Linked DNA regions of Mytilus edulis. The main gene of each other region encodes a partner of the protein of the gene in region 2 in a complex. Links are inferred from orthologs where the notes say so. Each region holds a gene or a part of one and is shown on either strand. Other genes may lie near its edges.

The links.
Region 1: the proteins of NADH dehydrogenase [ubiquinone] 1 alpha subcomplex subunit 8-like (region 2) and NADH dehydrogenase [ubiquinone] 1 alpha subcomplex subunit 13-like are in contact, whole or in part, in a cryo-EM structure (PDB 8ESZ), measured with the Drosophila melanogaster proteins. The link is inferred for Mytilus edulis from reciprocal best matches to the Drosophila melanogaster genes ND-19 and ND-B16.6. Residues at the interface, in NP_001163296.1 of Drosophila melanogaster: Val2, Ile3, Thr4, Asn5, Asn6, Thr7, Thr8, Leu9, Pro10, Glu11, Glu12, Leu15, Asn16, Val17, Gln18, Glu19, Leu20, Leu27, Arg28, Ala31, Phe32, Leu34, Gly35, Asn42, Phe45, Met46, Arg49, Asp54, Pro55, Arg56; in NP_001284943.1 of Drosophila melanogaster: Arg63, Asp64, Ile66, Glu67, Met68, Ser70, Ala71, Asn73, Val74, Ile75, Phe76, Pro77, Ile78, Val80, Ala81, Glu82, Arg83, Asp84, Arg85, Phe87, Leu88, Arg89, Leu91, Arg92, Arg93, Arg95, Val110, Gly111, Val118, Glu124.

What each region holds. Positions count from the first base shown.
Region 1 is NC_092347.1:63,213,427-63,220,497, forward strand, and holds the start of NADH dehydrogenase [ubiquinone] 1 alpha subcomplex subunit 13-like, read left to right. Parts: upstream 1-4,065; 5' UTR 4,066-4,130; coding exon 4,131-4,221; intron 4,222-7,071.
Region 2 is NC_092345.1:73,026,284-73,033,199, forward strand, and holds the start of NADH dehydrogenase [ubiquinone] 1 alpha subcomplex subunit 8-like, read right to left. Parts: upstream 3,023-6,916; 5' UTR 2,946-3,022; coding exon 2,817-2,945; intron 1-2,816.

The DNA.
Region 1 (7,071 bases), on a different chromosome or scaffold from region 2:
TTCCAAAGTGAGGATTTTTGTTTTATGCATAAAGTACTTACATTGAACAATTATTTATTTGTGAATTTTATTATTTGATTATTCATTGTTTTCTTGTGCACATTAGATAGTGTGTGTGTGTTGTTGAATGAGTTTGAATGTTAAGCAAGGGATGGTGCAATAAATGTCTGTTATTAAATTCAATAAATATATTTAAAAGCTTTATGTTTATATTAATTATTTGGCCATGATAATCCCTGTTTATAATGTAGATCTATTGAAAACTCTTTTTAGAATTAAATGAGATGATACAGAAAATGATGTAAATGTCAACATATGAGAGATATGAAAAAGAAGATGTGGTATGATTGCCAATGAGACAACTCTCCAAAAGAGACCAAATGACACAGAAAAATACCATAAATGAAATAGAACATTAATCATGATAATGGAATATGTAGACAGCTCTCTCACAAGCAAAAAACCCCTAATTGTAAAAATATAAGGGCATACACTTCAGGCACAGGGGCCACATGCAACTGCATCCACACAGCACAAGTAACACACCCTGCAGTATATAGAGTGCAAATAAAACATGATAATTCAGATACATGTTGTACATTTGTGGTAATCTAGAGTGCTGCATCTCACACAATAAAGAATTTCAAGAATAGTGCTCAAGATTTTAGTTTCTAGAGGGTGCTCATTGTTAATGGTTTTTCCTTCATTTTACTCCTGATACAATAACTTTAAACAAACACTATTCATTGTTGGGATATATTGCATATATATACACATGGAAAAAAGTATTACAACACCAAATTGAAATTGAAATTAAAAAAACACTCTTTATTTTTTTGTGATAAAATTTGTTAAAATAGAACTAGTTAAACATTATTTAAGTATCACATGAGTTTCATCAATAGATATCGACTCGATAAGTTTTTATCTGCACGTGCAGCTACTGTACCCGTAAACAGCAAAACAGATGTTTTCATCCTCATTGTTTTCAACATTTTAAATAACCAAGTTTTTAAAGTTATGTGATTGACACCTTGTAATGGGTCCTTGACAACTCTTAACTGCAGCAAGATGGCAGATTATCAGCATAAGAGAAGCAGGGATGTAGCTGTAACAACTGCACATATTGTTGGTCATCACCATTCGTCGTTTTGAGAATAAAAATCAGGCAATAAACGCTGTTAAAGACCTTCCAAGATAATGAAGACCCCCTATATCATTTGCTAGGGGAAATCAAGTATAATGAAGGTTGGTCAGAAGGAAACCCATTGCATACAGGACAATCCTGAAAAGAGAGCGGTGGCCAAACAGGAGCCTTCTAGCAAGAACTGTTCGAGATCGACTCATCGCTACTGGTTATCGTGCGACAAGACCATTTCGGAGACCTTTGCTAACAAACAGACACACAGTTTTCCGTATGACACGTAGTGCAGAGCTTGCCAAAGTTGGAAATTAGCATCACGGAGGGAGATCCAATGTTCAAATGGAATTCGTTTCATCTTACTTGGCCCGATCGTAGCCCGGATTTGAACCATATCGAGCATATTTGGGACACTATTGGGCGGAAAGTGCGCGAAAGGACACCCCAGTTCAAACACATCATGAAATAAACAATGCCCTTCATCAGAAATGGTTGCTGCTACCTTAGCAACAAATTAGTTGATTTATGGCAGGAATCAGAAGACGTTAAGATGCGGTTATCTGTTTGAATGGAGGCTGCTTACAAAGCACTAATTCTTTGGCGTAAAACGAACAACCATGATGTGAACAGTCATCTGAACATTAATTTTGAAATGTCTGACATTGTAAAGTTCGACTACAGTAAAAGTTGTAAAATGCATTTTTTTGTACAAAAACCCTTGATTTTGTTATTAAAATTGTGGTTATATTAATCATTTTTTTTTCAAATATTTTTTTGTTCGTTTCAATGCCAATGTTATCATTAACTATGTTTCAATAATATTATACATATATTTTATTATATTTCATCTAAAAAAAGAGGCTGATTTTTCAAGTTTTAAAAAATCAAGGTGTTGCAATACTTTTTCCATATGTATAGGTCAATTGGGAATGAGTTTGCATCTTGTTTTGTTATGGAATCATCTTCTCTAAAACTACTGCCTATGGAGCAAATTTAACCAAAGTTGGCCACAATCATCAATGGGGTATGAAGTATACAATTGTGTCCAATGACCTGGCTTGCTGACAAACATGGCTGATTGTCAGTTCTCTTGAAAATTGCTATAAATATATAAAAACTAGCAAAAAAATGACCAGCAAAACATGATCAAACTTGACTGAAATTCTTAGTCTACTGCTTATATGAAGTTATTGCCCTTTAATAAATATTTTTTTCATTTTTTCACATTGTTGCCTTTTATCTCAAAAGCTATATAATATAATAAATAGATAGAAACTTTAAATGGCTTAAATGATAAGTTCAACAGGATCTATGAAAAAAAATGACAGCTGAAACTTAAGTTAACTCATTATTGGAGTTATTGCCTTTTAAAGTTAATTTTCACCAATTTTTTTTGGCATTTATTGCATATATTCTGTAATAATAATGTAATCCTAGATATCATCCTCCTGATCATGGAGGGTCATGGGTTGGAACTCATCCCATTTTTTTTACAATCAATGCTTTTGAATTTTGACATGGTTGGACTCCCCATTTAATCTTGGTTGACACACCCCTTCCTCTCCCCCTTTTAAAATGGCTGAATCCATCCTGAGTATGTGGTGTGGTATAAAAATGAATCCGGGTTCGTTCGCGCCCATTCACGTTCGCACCCACTCATGTTCGCCCCCTTTCATTTTCGCATCCTACATGTTCGCGCCCAATTTTAATTGGTTTTGTGTTTAATATAACTTTGTTATCAAGTTTTGGCAAGTAGTATTCTTATAAGTATAAGTGTTTTCATTGTCTTAAAATAAAATGAGACAGCATTTTTTGTGGTTTGAATAAATCTTAATCATGTTTTGGATAGTGTATTGTTAAAAAAAATAATATTCCTTTCTAAATAAAGTGGGATTCTGTCAACGTTTTATTTTGTGTTGAATAAGTTACTATTAATCATGTTTTGGTTAGTGTATTGCATAACTTTGTTTCATTGACTTGTTTCAAAATGAAGTGAGATTCTGACTACGTTTTCTTTTTTGGTGTGTTGAATAAATTTTATCATGTTTTGGTTATAATAGTGTATTGCTATATTTTATTGTTTCATTGTTTCAGATCAAAGGGACCAAGCTGTTAAAAACAATTATCTTTTGTGTTTTTCATTTAAAATCTTTTACTGAGGGGGGATAGGAGGGGTCTTGATCCCGAAATCCCGGACTTGAAAAAACGAAATCCCGAGGCCCCGAATTTAAATAAAGCAAATCCCGACATCCCGAAATCCGAAAAAAAGGATTCCCGGATCCCAAAAGGGTCAATCCCGAAATCCCGAGCTTAAAAACACCCGATCCCGGAGTCCCGATAAAGGTCCTATCCCCCCTCTTTACTCATACCAAGTTATAAATACCTCAGTATTTACACGAAAGCAATTAAAACAACCATCATGATTTTCCAACTATTAAACTGGAATTGGAATTAAAATTGGGCGCGAACGTGTAGAGTGCGAACGGACCTTGGATGCGAACATGCGAGGTTCGAACGTGTAGGGTGCGAAAGTATATTGGGCGCGAACGGACCTGATACCTATAAAAATAGGTGGTGGGAAGTTGACTGCTTTTAAAGGACCAACTTTTAACAATTTTGGCTGAAAGGAAAAGATTTTAACAGCGGTGGAACTTTTTTTCCCATGTAAAGACTATATAAAAATCATATTTTTCTGCATTGAAAGAGTAAGAAATTAAAAAAAAAATTCTACAGGACCTAAATCCCATTTATAGGACATTTGGTCACTTCAGTTTTTTTCTAGAATATTAACTCATAGTCTTTGGTTTAGAAAGAAAATATTTGATAAAATCAATAGTGACTGTCTGAATGTCCTTGTTCGACTGTTTTATTTTGCTTAATTTCAATGTTACACGGATTAAAAACTTGCTTGGTCCGAAATTGGTCAAGATATTCTATATGTGCCTTCAGTTATCTCCCTTGCGACCTCCAAATTTTGGAGTCTCCGAGGATGTCGAGGATCGGGTACACTCAAGATATGCCCCCGCCTGGGGGATACAAGCCGATACAATATGAAAAACTAATGCCTAAACAAGGAAATGGTATTATTAAATGCTTTAATGTAGTCATAGTAAACATGTATTCGTGACTAGCCTGGGTAACACACCTGAATAAATCAAATTTATTTTTTAAATCGTCATTATAATTCAGTTATTGGTGATTCTGATTCAGTTCAACAATGCATTTATGATCACAGATTGAGCCAGGACCCAGGCTAGTCCACTGATATACATCTTTTCAAAGATTTTTACCAGTTACCAAAATGACATGAACAATGTCAAAAATAGACCGATACATAAAGACTTTTTAAAGTATTATCAAAATATGACGGTGTTGCCATCAAAAACTTACTCTGTGTGTGTACCTGTCTAATGAAAATTTTAAGGATTGCGTAGACCCACACAGTACATGGTTAAACAATTTCTTCACCTGCTTTTTTATTACTAATTATAATCTTGATCATTTGATGATAATACATTTAACGTGACGGTACCCAAATTGCACCTATTTTGATAGTTTTTTCAACTACGTTTTTTTATGATCAAGACAAAAATTTCAATTTTGTGTTTATTTTGTAGCTGTATCCTTCTTTATTATATAGGTACACCAATTTGATTTTCAATTCATATGGAATCATAGAAAAATTGACCTGAACTAACCTCCAAACCATCAATGATTCTGTAATGAGGAGTACCCAAAATGCATCCATGCTTAAATTAGCATCGACAAAAGTCGAATAACAAAGCTTTTGTTTATTTTTTTCAAATGTTTTGAACAATTGGATATTGGTCCATGCCTACTCAGGTTCTTTTTTTAAGAAATGGATACTTGAAACATATATGTATTTGCTAATTTTTAAAAGAAGACGTTTTGATGACGTTTCGGTACATTTTGCTTTTTCAGTAAACACTTCATCTGTTGATAAATATCGTGAACGTTTTGTGTATATCTTAATATGTTTACCTATGTTGAAAGACATGCATATAGTATCAAATCATAAAAATACAAATTGTTTAGTCTCTAGGAGATCTTGTGAGATTTCCGCTGCTATTTTTGCTAAATAGGTGCAATTTGGGTACCGTTACGCTAATAGCCATATATAAAGTTATATAAAGTACTAAACTCACATCAACAGCCGATGATATTTGCATTGCCATAATTTATTCACACTCTTCTTATATACATATCACACTTGGTGTTTACAGTTAATTAGTCTTCATTGGCAATTGCTGTCAATCAATATCTATCAAATTTTGAAAAGGCCTAAGCCTGGGACTTACTTCAATGAGTGATTTTCTAAATCACTAATTCAAGTAACATTATGTCCATAAAGGTTGGAAGAAAGGGTTGTCTTTCTTTATTAATCACTTATTTAAGTAGTACAAATTAATCACTAGAAAGAGTGATTTAATTTTATTGTACTTTAAATATAGAACACTAATGATCCAGGGACTAATTATGTTGCTAAAATTATCAAAACCAACATCTGTGTTGATAGGATGACCGGGTCATTTCAGGTGATGACCTTGTACTGAATCTAGGATAATGACATAAAAATCACTTGTTTTAAGTATTACTAGAACACACCCGCGAAATCGCGGGCATTCAGAGCGTAGTTTAAAGTACATGTAAAGTGTTGTTGGAAGAATTTTGTAAAATACAGAATGACTGGAGAATTTCAGCAAAAGTATCATAAGTCATAGGTTATTGGGGACAGGAAAATGTTTTTTTACCCTCCACCTTTATTTCCAAAGTTCCCAATTTTTGGTTTTCTATAAATTTCAATATGCAGAGGCGGATTTAGGGGGGGGGGGGCAGGGGGCCCCGGTCCCCCCTTTTTGGGAAAAAATTGGTTGCTTATATAGGGAATCACTGAAGCGTGACTGGAGCGGGCCCCCTCTTAGGTCAGTCAGTGGGCCCCCACTTATGAAAATTTCTGGATCCGCCACTGATATGAACATACATTTAGTATGTTATGAACATTTATCTAAGTAAGGAGCCTGTAATTCAGTGGTTGTCATTTGTTTATGTGTTACATATTTGTTTTTCGTTCATTTTTTGTACATAAATAAGGCCACTAGTTTTCTCGTTTGCATTGTTTTACATTGTCATTTCGGGCCTTTTGAAGCTGAGTATGCGGTATGGGCTTTGCTCTTTGTTGAAGGCCGTACGGTGACCTATAGTTGTTAATATCTGTGTCATTTTGGTCTCTTGTGGAGAGTTGTCTTAACATGGCAATCATACCACATCTTCTTTTTTTTATGTAATCAATGAATTTTGTAAAAGATTTAATGATTTAATGACTGAAGAATTTCAGAAAAAGTATCAAAAGTTCACATGAATAATTTTAGCGCTTATCTGTATATTATGAACATTCACTACTATATAAATAAAGCGTATTTACTTTCAATTCTAAGTTTACTAATCGATCCATGGTGATCATTGATATAGTATACAGACCCTCTCTATTTAATAAACTCTGTGACCGCCGTGGATAGTAAACTTGAAAATGATAGCACATAAAATTCTGAAAATACACTTTATTCGTAGTACATGTATATGTATGTTCAAAGTATACAGAAAAACGCAAACCGGAAGTCTAATCTGACTTAAAATTTCGTACAATGACGGGACAATATCCGGATGCCTTTTTTCTTGTTTTTCTCCTAAAATAACTCAATCTGAATAATCATATGAATGGATGACAAATGCGACTATGCACTGTACCTATAGGACACAGAGGCGTGTTGATTAATTTATTCTGGAAAGAAGAGAAACGACACCAAAAATGAGGTCTTCTCGTTTAATAGTTTAGATACATTTGTACCTCAATTTCCTTTCCAAAAATCACTTCTTTAAGTACATGTATCATTATTTTAATAACCCCCACT
Region 2 (6,916 bases):
GTCAAGAAAACTATTAAGTGACAAAAAATCTTCTTTTTTTTTTATTAATACATATAGAGAAATATGTATTTGAATTAATTTTAAGATACGGGCAGAAATAATAAATTGATTATTTTTTTATAATATTAAAAGATGAAGAAATTAAACAGTTGTGAGGAAAACTAGAGGCTCTCAAGAGCCTGTATTGCTCACCTGACTTTACTTTGGTTTTTAAATTCATATAAAAAAAGGTAAAAATTTGGCCACAAAGTAACAACACTTGGCCAGCACCCCAAAAGAAACATTCATGCTATGTTTGGTTTCATTCAATTCAGTGGTTCTCTAAAAGAAGTCATTTGTATGCATTTCCCATAGGGTCCTATGTTTCACTAAGTCCCCCGCTGGGGACCATCTATTTGTAAGGAAGAAAGGGATTGTGTAGGTTAATGCTATGATGCTATGATTTAGTCTTTTCCCATATTATTTTCTTATTTTTAAATATTTGTAGTAGGTGTTTAGATTAACATCTCATGTTTTGCTCCTACAAAAAAAATATTTAAATAATCTCGGAAGATTTGGAAAGGTGTAAAAGATGAAGGGTAACATAAACAACTTCACAAAATGTGTAAAACGATGAAGGACAACCTTTTGCATATTTTCAAAATTTCGAAAAAGGTGAAAGGTGATATTTAAAATCTTTTTTAAACAACAAAAGTTAAAAGACGACATTTGTTTACCTTTTGTATGTTTGTAACATCAAAAGTAGCAAGTTGACATTATTGCAATGACAAAAGATGAAATACCACCTTTTGTTCTACGAAAGGTAAAAAAATGTAGACTTCCAAATGGATCACCTTTTGTGCACATTTTGGCTCCTGAAAAATATGATCAAAAGTTTCGTTTTCCTGTAGTGCCCTAAGTTAATAACAGTACACACAATGTGGAACATCAAATGAGATTAATATTTATTTGAAATAAGTAAAAAAAATAAAAAAATTCTTGTCACTAAATAGTTTCTTGTCGCTAAAATCATTCTTCTTGCCGCTTCTTGTTGCTAAAATTATTCTTCTAGTCGCTTCTTGTCGCTAATTAGTGAGACCGTTCTACTATAATAGGGGACTTCGTCCCCATATTACAGTATTATGCAGGTTGGGAACAAACCCCCTGTATGGTGATTATACCTGTATAGAGGGATAATCCTTCTTTAGAGGGATAAAATTTTTGATTGCACTGGATTTAAAGCAAATTAGGGCAGAATTGCATTTTCTAGTTATATTGGCTATAATCTCTAGCATTATATGCATCAACATATGCACTTTACTAAAAATTGGGATAACCAGTTTTCTGCTAAAGTGACAAAACTTGCAATCTATTGTATACCTACATGTATCTGAACACCTGATCAACAACAAAAGGAATAGTTGACCTTAAATTTCATGTTAAATCTAACAATAGAAGTTCTGTTCAGTGAGGCATAAGTGAGTAGAATTTACCTGATCATCACAGCTTTCAATCATGGTGAACAATAGATTTTATATTTAGTCAGATAATTATAAACATCAAACTGAGCATGTGCATATTATGGGGACGAAGTCCCCTATAATACAGTAGAAAATTTTTTAAAAAATCGGGAAAATTCCCAAATTTTTCATTGTACTAATGAACTCAAAATCGTTCAATTTATTTTTGTCGCGTTTTTGAATTTCCAGATCTGTGCTGAAATCTACTTTCGTTTCCGGTCTTGTTTACATGAGACTTTGAATAAAATGTATATTTATCAGTCTAAGAAAGGAAATAATACTAATTCATTTAAAAAAAAAATGTTTGTTATTAAAAAAACGTTACCTGATGACAGCGTTTCTTTGTTTACATTGAATATGACGTCATAACTTAAATAACGTCACAACTAAAATCCCTAACAACAGAACCAAAATCGGAGAAGTTACGGTATTTCCGTTTCTCTTTTTAACATTGTTGATTTTAAAAAAAATCATAGACTTCGTCCCCATTCACAGGTAATGCCTGCCTCATATTAAATTTAGTCCGAGATTACTCTGACGTCCAACGGCTGTTTTGCCAGACAAGCTGGGGCCGTGGGACGTCAGAGCTCGTCCCATATCAAAAAGTGGATATTTGCCCACCCAAAATAGATGCGCTGCTTCGTCAAAATGCAGAAATCGATGGGTCTCTGTGAAAACTGTTAAAATATGGAAAATTAAAAGTTGGCAGGTAGGTGAAACTTACATAAATGAAAAGATAAATGAAAAATGAACAGATTGATGCCCGATTTATATAATTCCAAGGCTGTCAGTCGGCACCAGAAGCGACGAAGCAGCGCATCTATTTTGGGTGGGCAAATATCCACTTTTTGATATGGGACGAGCTCTGACGTCCCACGGCCCCAGCTTGTCTGGCAAAACAGCCGTTGGACGTCAGAGTAATCTCGGACTAATTAAATTAAGTACATCAATTGGTGCATCAACTGTTCCAGGTTACTGCCATAATAAGAAGGGAAAGCCATTCTGCCCTATTTTGATTTAAATCCAGTCTTAACAAAAATACCCCTCTATAGAGAGATAATTTTACCCCTCTATAGAAGGATTATCTCTTTATACAGGTATAATCACTATATAGAGGGTTAGTTCCCAACCTGTTATGTGATGAGAAATTGCATAACAACGTTCTAAGATGAGGGGTCAGTAGAAACCATTGGTTTATTTAAGGACTCGGAAAATAAGCTATAAAGGTATGCTTTCAAGGGGAGAAACCTGTCTGTACTGTAGTGTAAAACTGTTATATTTGGACTTCTGTTATATTAAAATTAAAAGAAGAACTACCTTCGAAGCATTATCACAGTATTTTCCAAAGAACACACCGCTTGCTCTAAGGACAGACGATGTCAGTGGAAGCTCTGGAACTGTCAGTTCCTCATGACTAGGCAAATAATCTTCGTTTGTAAAGGCCATCGGACGGCCTTCCAAGGACAATCAGTGTTAAATTACAACAATATCGGACGTTTTGAACTGTGGTGGTTTCAAGAGCTAACCTGACCATGCTTAATCGAATCCTTAAATCTATGTCAAATCGTCCCATCTTTTTACCAACTCGTCCCATCTTTTACCTTGGTACTCGAAACTTGGAACTTTTATTTCTCAAGATCCCATCAAGGGTATGTGAATCTAAAATTAAACAAATAACAACAATAACAAATAGAAGATGTTTTATTTCCATAAGACGGTCTCACAAAGGACGATAATTGATAAAGTTTTGTTAAGTTTTCATATTTTAACACTAAAAAAATTGAAATTTAATATTCAACTTGCATATTTTCCAAGAAAATGATTGTATTGGATATTTAGCTAAAGGGAACGACCATTTAACTTCAAAGTTTTTTTTTTGTTTTGTTTTTTTAGATATTCTGATCCCCAATTTGATGGGAAAAAAATATTCTGTTCAAGTAGAAAAAAAAATCCGTGTTCAAGTAGATGACAAAAAATATTTTGAATGCAGATTTCCCCCATTCCTTATAGTGTTAAATTTTGAGAAATTTTTTTTTTATTGATAGTTCTTGATAGTGTCGAAAAACTTAATAAATTTAAACAAAATTCTGACTATTCCTTTAATAATTCCTGAGACAGAAAAGCCTTATATTATTTTAAAAAACAAAGATTTGTTTAATAGTTAATTATGACCATATCAATTATAACAGAGGTGCTGACTACTCGGCAAGTTATGTGAAATTGGTGATGAATTTCGACGACGAACAGCAGTTCCTTAATTGGGGGCTTTTGATGATGGGAATTTTTAACGACCTTGCCTGGCTGTATACAACCTTCGCACGGTCGGTTGCAGTTAGGTAGCAGCCATTTAACTTCAAGGGGGATATGGGTTTTTTTCTCCTTAGCTGTATTTGGCATAACTTCAGTAGGATTTTTTGGTTCTCGATGATCTTTAACTTCGGACTACTTTATTTGGCCTTTATATATTTTTTTATTCGAGCGTCACTGATGAGTCTTTTGTAGACGAAGCGCAAATACCAAATTTCAATCCTGGTATCTATGATGAGTTTATTCCTCAAAACGACCTTTTTCTATTGGTAAGTAAAGACCAACTTACCCAAGTTTTTTACCATCTCACCCCAACTTTTCACCAACATGCACCACTTTCTACCAACTCACCCAAATTTGTTTGCCATCTCGCCCCAATTGAAATGTCTCCTTTCTTTAGGTTGAAAAAAATGCAGAAAAAAATAAGTATCAGCTTTTGACGTTATTGATCATCGTAATTATTTTATATTTATGACGCAGTACGTTTGTTTTCTGGTTTGAATATTAAAGATTTCTTCCAACCAGAATTCTGCAGCATACATTGAAATTGTGTTGTATTATGAGGACCATTATGGCATATTTGGGGGGAATATTCACCAGGAAACAATCTGGAGATGTACAGAAGGGACAAATAAAACATGCCCGCATCTTCTTGTAAATAGTTTCCTTTTCTTTTTTCTTTTTATTCACTTAAAATGCAATGTTCTCTCTGACAGCAGGGTTTCATGAGATAGCTATATAAGTTTAGTACATGTACATTCACTTATTCAGGCAAATAGCGCAACAGTCATTTACAGCATTTTTTTTATGACATATCGACCGACATAAGTGCCATGGATCATCAATAAATAAATATAATTATGTATACCGTCAATCATGGCCTCCTAAGCTGAGTACAGTACACAACAAAGCAAAAGTTCAGACGGAAAATGAAATATACTTTTTCCCTTCAAGGAAATAAGAACTATTTCACTGCAATGCAGGGCTTTAAATGTACGAAGGGAAATATTTATTACCTTGCTATTCATTCATTTAAACTTTATGAAGTTAAGACTAGATTATAAAAAGTGAAGAAAAGAACAGCTGGACAATTAAAACTAGAGGCTCTAAAGAGCCTGTGTCGTTCAGCTTGGTATATGCATATTAAGCAAAGGACACAAATGGATTCATGACAAACTTGTGTTTTGGTGACGATGATGTGTTTGTAGATCTTACTTAAATTCTTTACTGAAAATTCTTGCTGCTTACAGTTATCTCATCTATAATGAACTTGGCCCAGTAGTAACAGAGGAAAATATTTTACAAAAATTAACAAAATTTATGAAAAATGTAAAAAATTTGGTCATGTTGACCTATTTGTAGGTCTTACTTTACATTATTGCTTTTTACAGTTTATATCTATAATAATATTCAAGATAATAACCAAAAACGGCAAAATTTCCTTAAAATTACCAATTCAGGGACAGCAACCCAACAACGGGTTGTCCGATTCATCTGAAAATTTCAGGGCAGATAGAAATTGACCTGACCAACAATTTTACCCCATGTCAAATTTGCTCTAAATGCTTTGGTTTCAGAGATATAAGCCAAAATCTACATTTTACCCCTATGTTCTTTTTTTAGTCATGGCGGCCATCTTGGTTGGTTGGCCGGGTCACCGGACACATTTTTTTAAACTAGATACCCCAAGGATGATTGTGGCCAAGTTTGGTTAAATGTGGCCTAGTAGTTTCAGAGGAGAAGATTTTTGTAAAAGTTAACGACGGACGACGAACGCCAAGTGATGAGAAAAGATCACTTGGCCCTGTGGGCCAGGTGAGGTAAAAAAGAAATAAAAGAAAGACAATATGAAATATGACAACGCGAAAACAGATGGGAGACAAACACATCTTAGAACAAGTCAACAAAATATTTCAGACAAATTCAGATTGAGCTACATCTCGGGGTTGAACTTATAAACAGTTCGTTCTCCGTTTACACGTAGTGTCACATCAAAGTTGAAACGATCCCTTCGAAATGTTCACGGACGCCATCACGAGTTGGATGACCGCTATGTATGGTTATAGAACATCTGTTTCACAGAGGACGACGGATTTTCGATAAATATTCGTAACCACAATTCCGTCCTCTTTTCCTCGAATGTGAACCACCGAATGTATCGATCTTCTCATCGGTTTTGTACTTCAATGAACAAGACCTCAAGGGTGCAACATGTCGAGCAGAATCTGTTAACCCTTCTAGAGCACCTGAGATTACACCAATTTATGCTCAGTCTTTAATGCTTTCTATTTTTTTGTGTTTTGTGTGCTGTTATTCGCTTTTCTTCGGTTTATGATTTTTGTTTTTGCAATGGTATCATCAGGTTTTTTTCCCGCCCCTCTTTGCAAGAGGAATCTGACATATTCAAACAAAAAACTGAACATCTATCAATCAAATATGAAAATGGGTCAGAGGTTAAGTGAACCATGTCACACGGGTTACAGGTGTAACTTATAAATATTATTCAAGATATATATACATGGGTTGTTTTACAGGAATAACTTATATTCAAGATAAATTTGTTGTTTAAAGGTGTACCTAATGACCAATATTAAAGATATTGGTGTTGTTTTACAGGTGTAACTTATAAATAATATTCAAAATATATGTGTTGTTTTACAGGTGTACCTTATGAATAATATTCCAGATATAGTTGTGTTGTTTGACAGGTGTAACTAATAAACAATATTCAAGATATATGTGTTGTTTTACAGGTGTACTAATGAATAATATTAAAGATATTGGTGTTGTTTTACAGGAATTACTTATAAATAATATTCAAGATATAATTGTGTTGTTTTACAGGTGTAACTTATAAACAATATTCAAGATTTTTGTTGTTTTACAGGTGTAATAATGAACAATACTAAAGATATTGGTTTTGTTTTACAGGTGTAACTTATAAATAATATTTAAGATATAATTGTGTTGTTTTACATGTGTAACTAATAAATCATATTCAAGATTTATGTGTTGTTTTACAGGAATAACTTATAAATAATATTCAAGATATAATTGTGTTGTTTTACAGGTGTAACTAATAAATCATATTCAAGATATTGGTTTTGTTT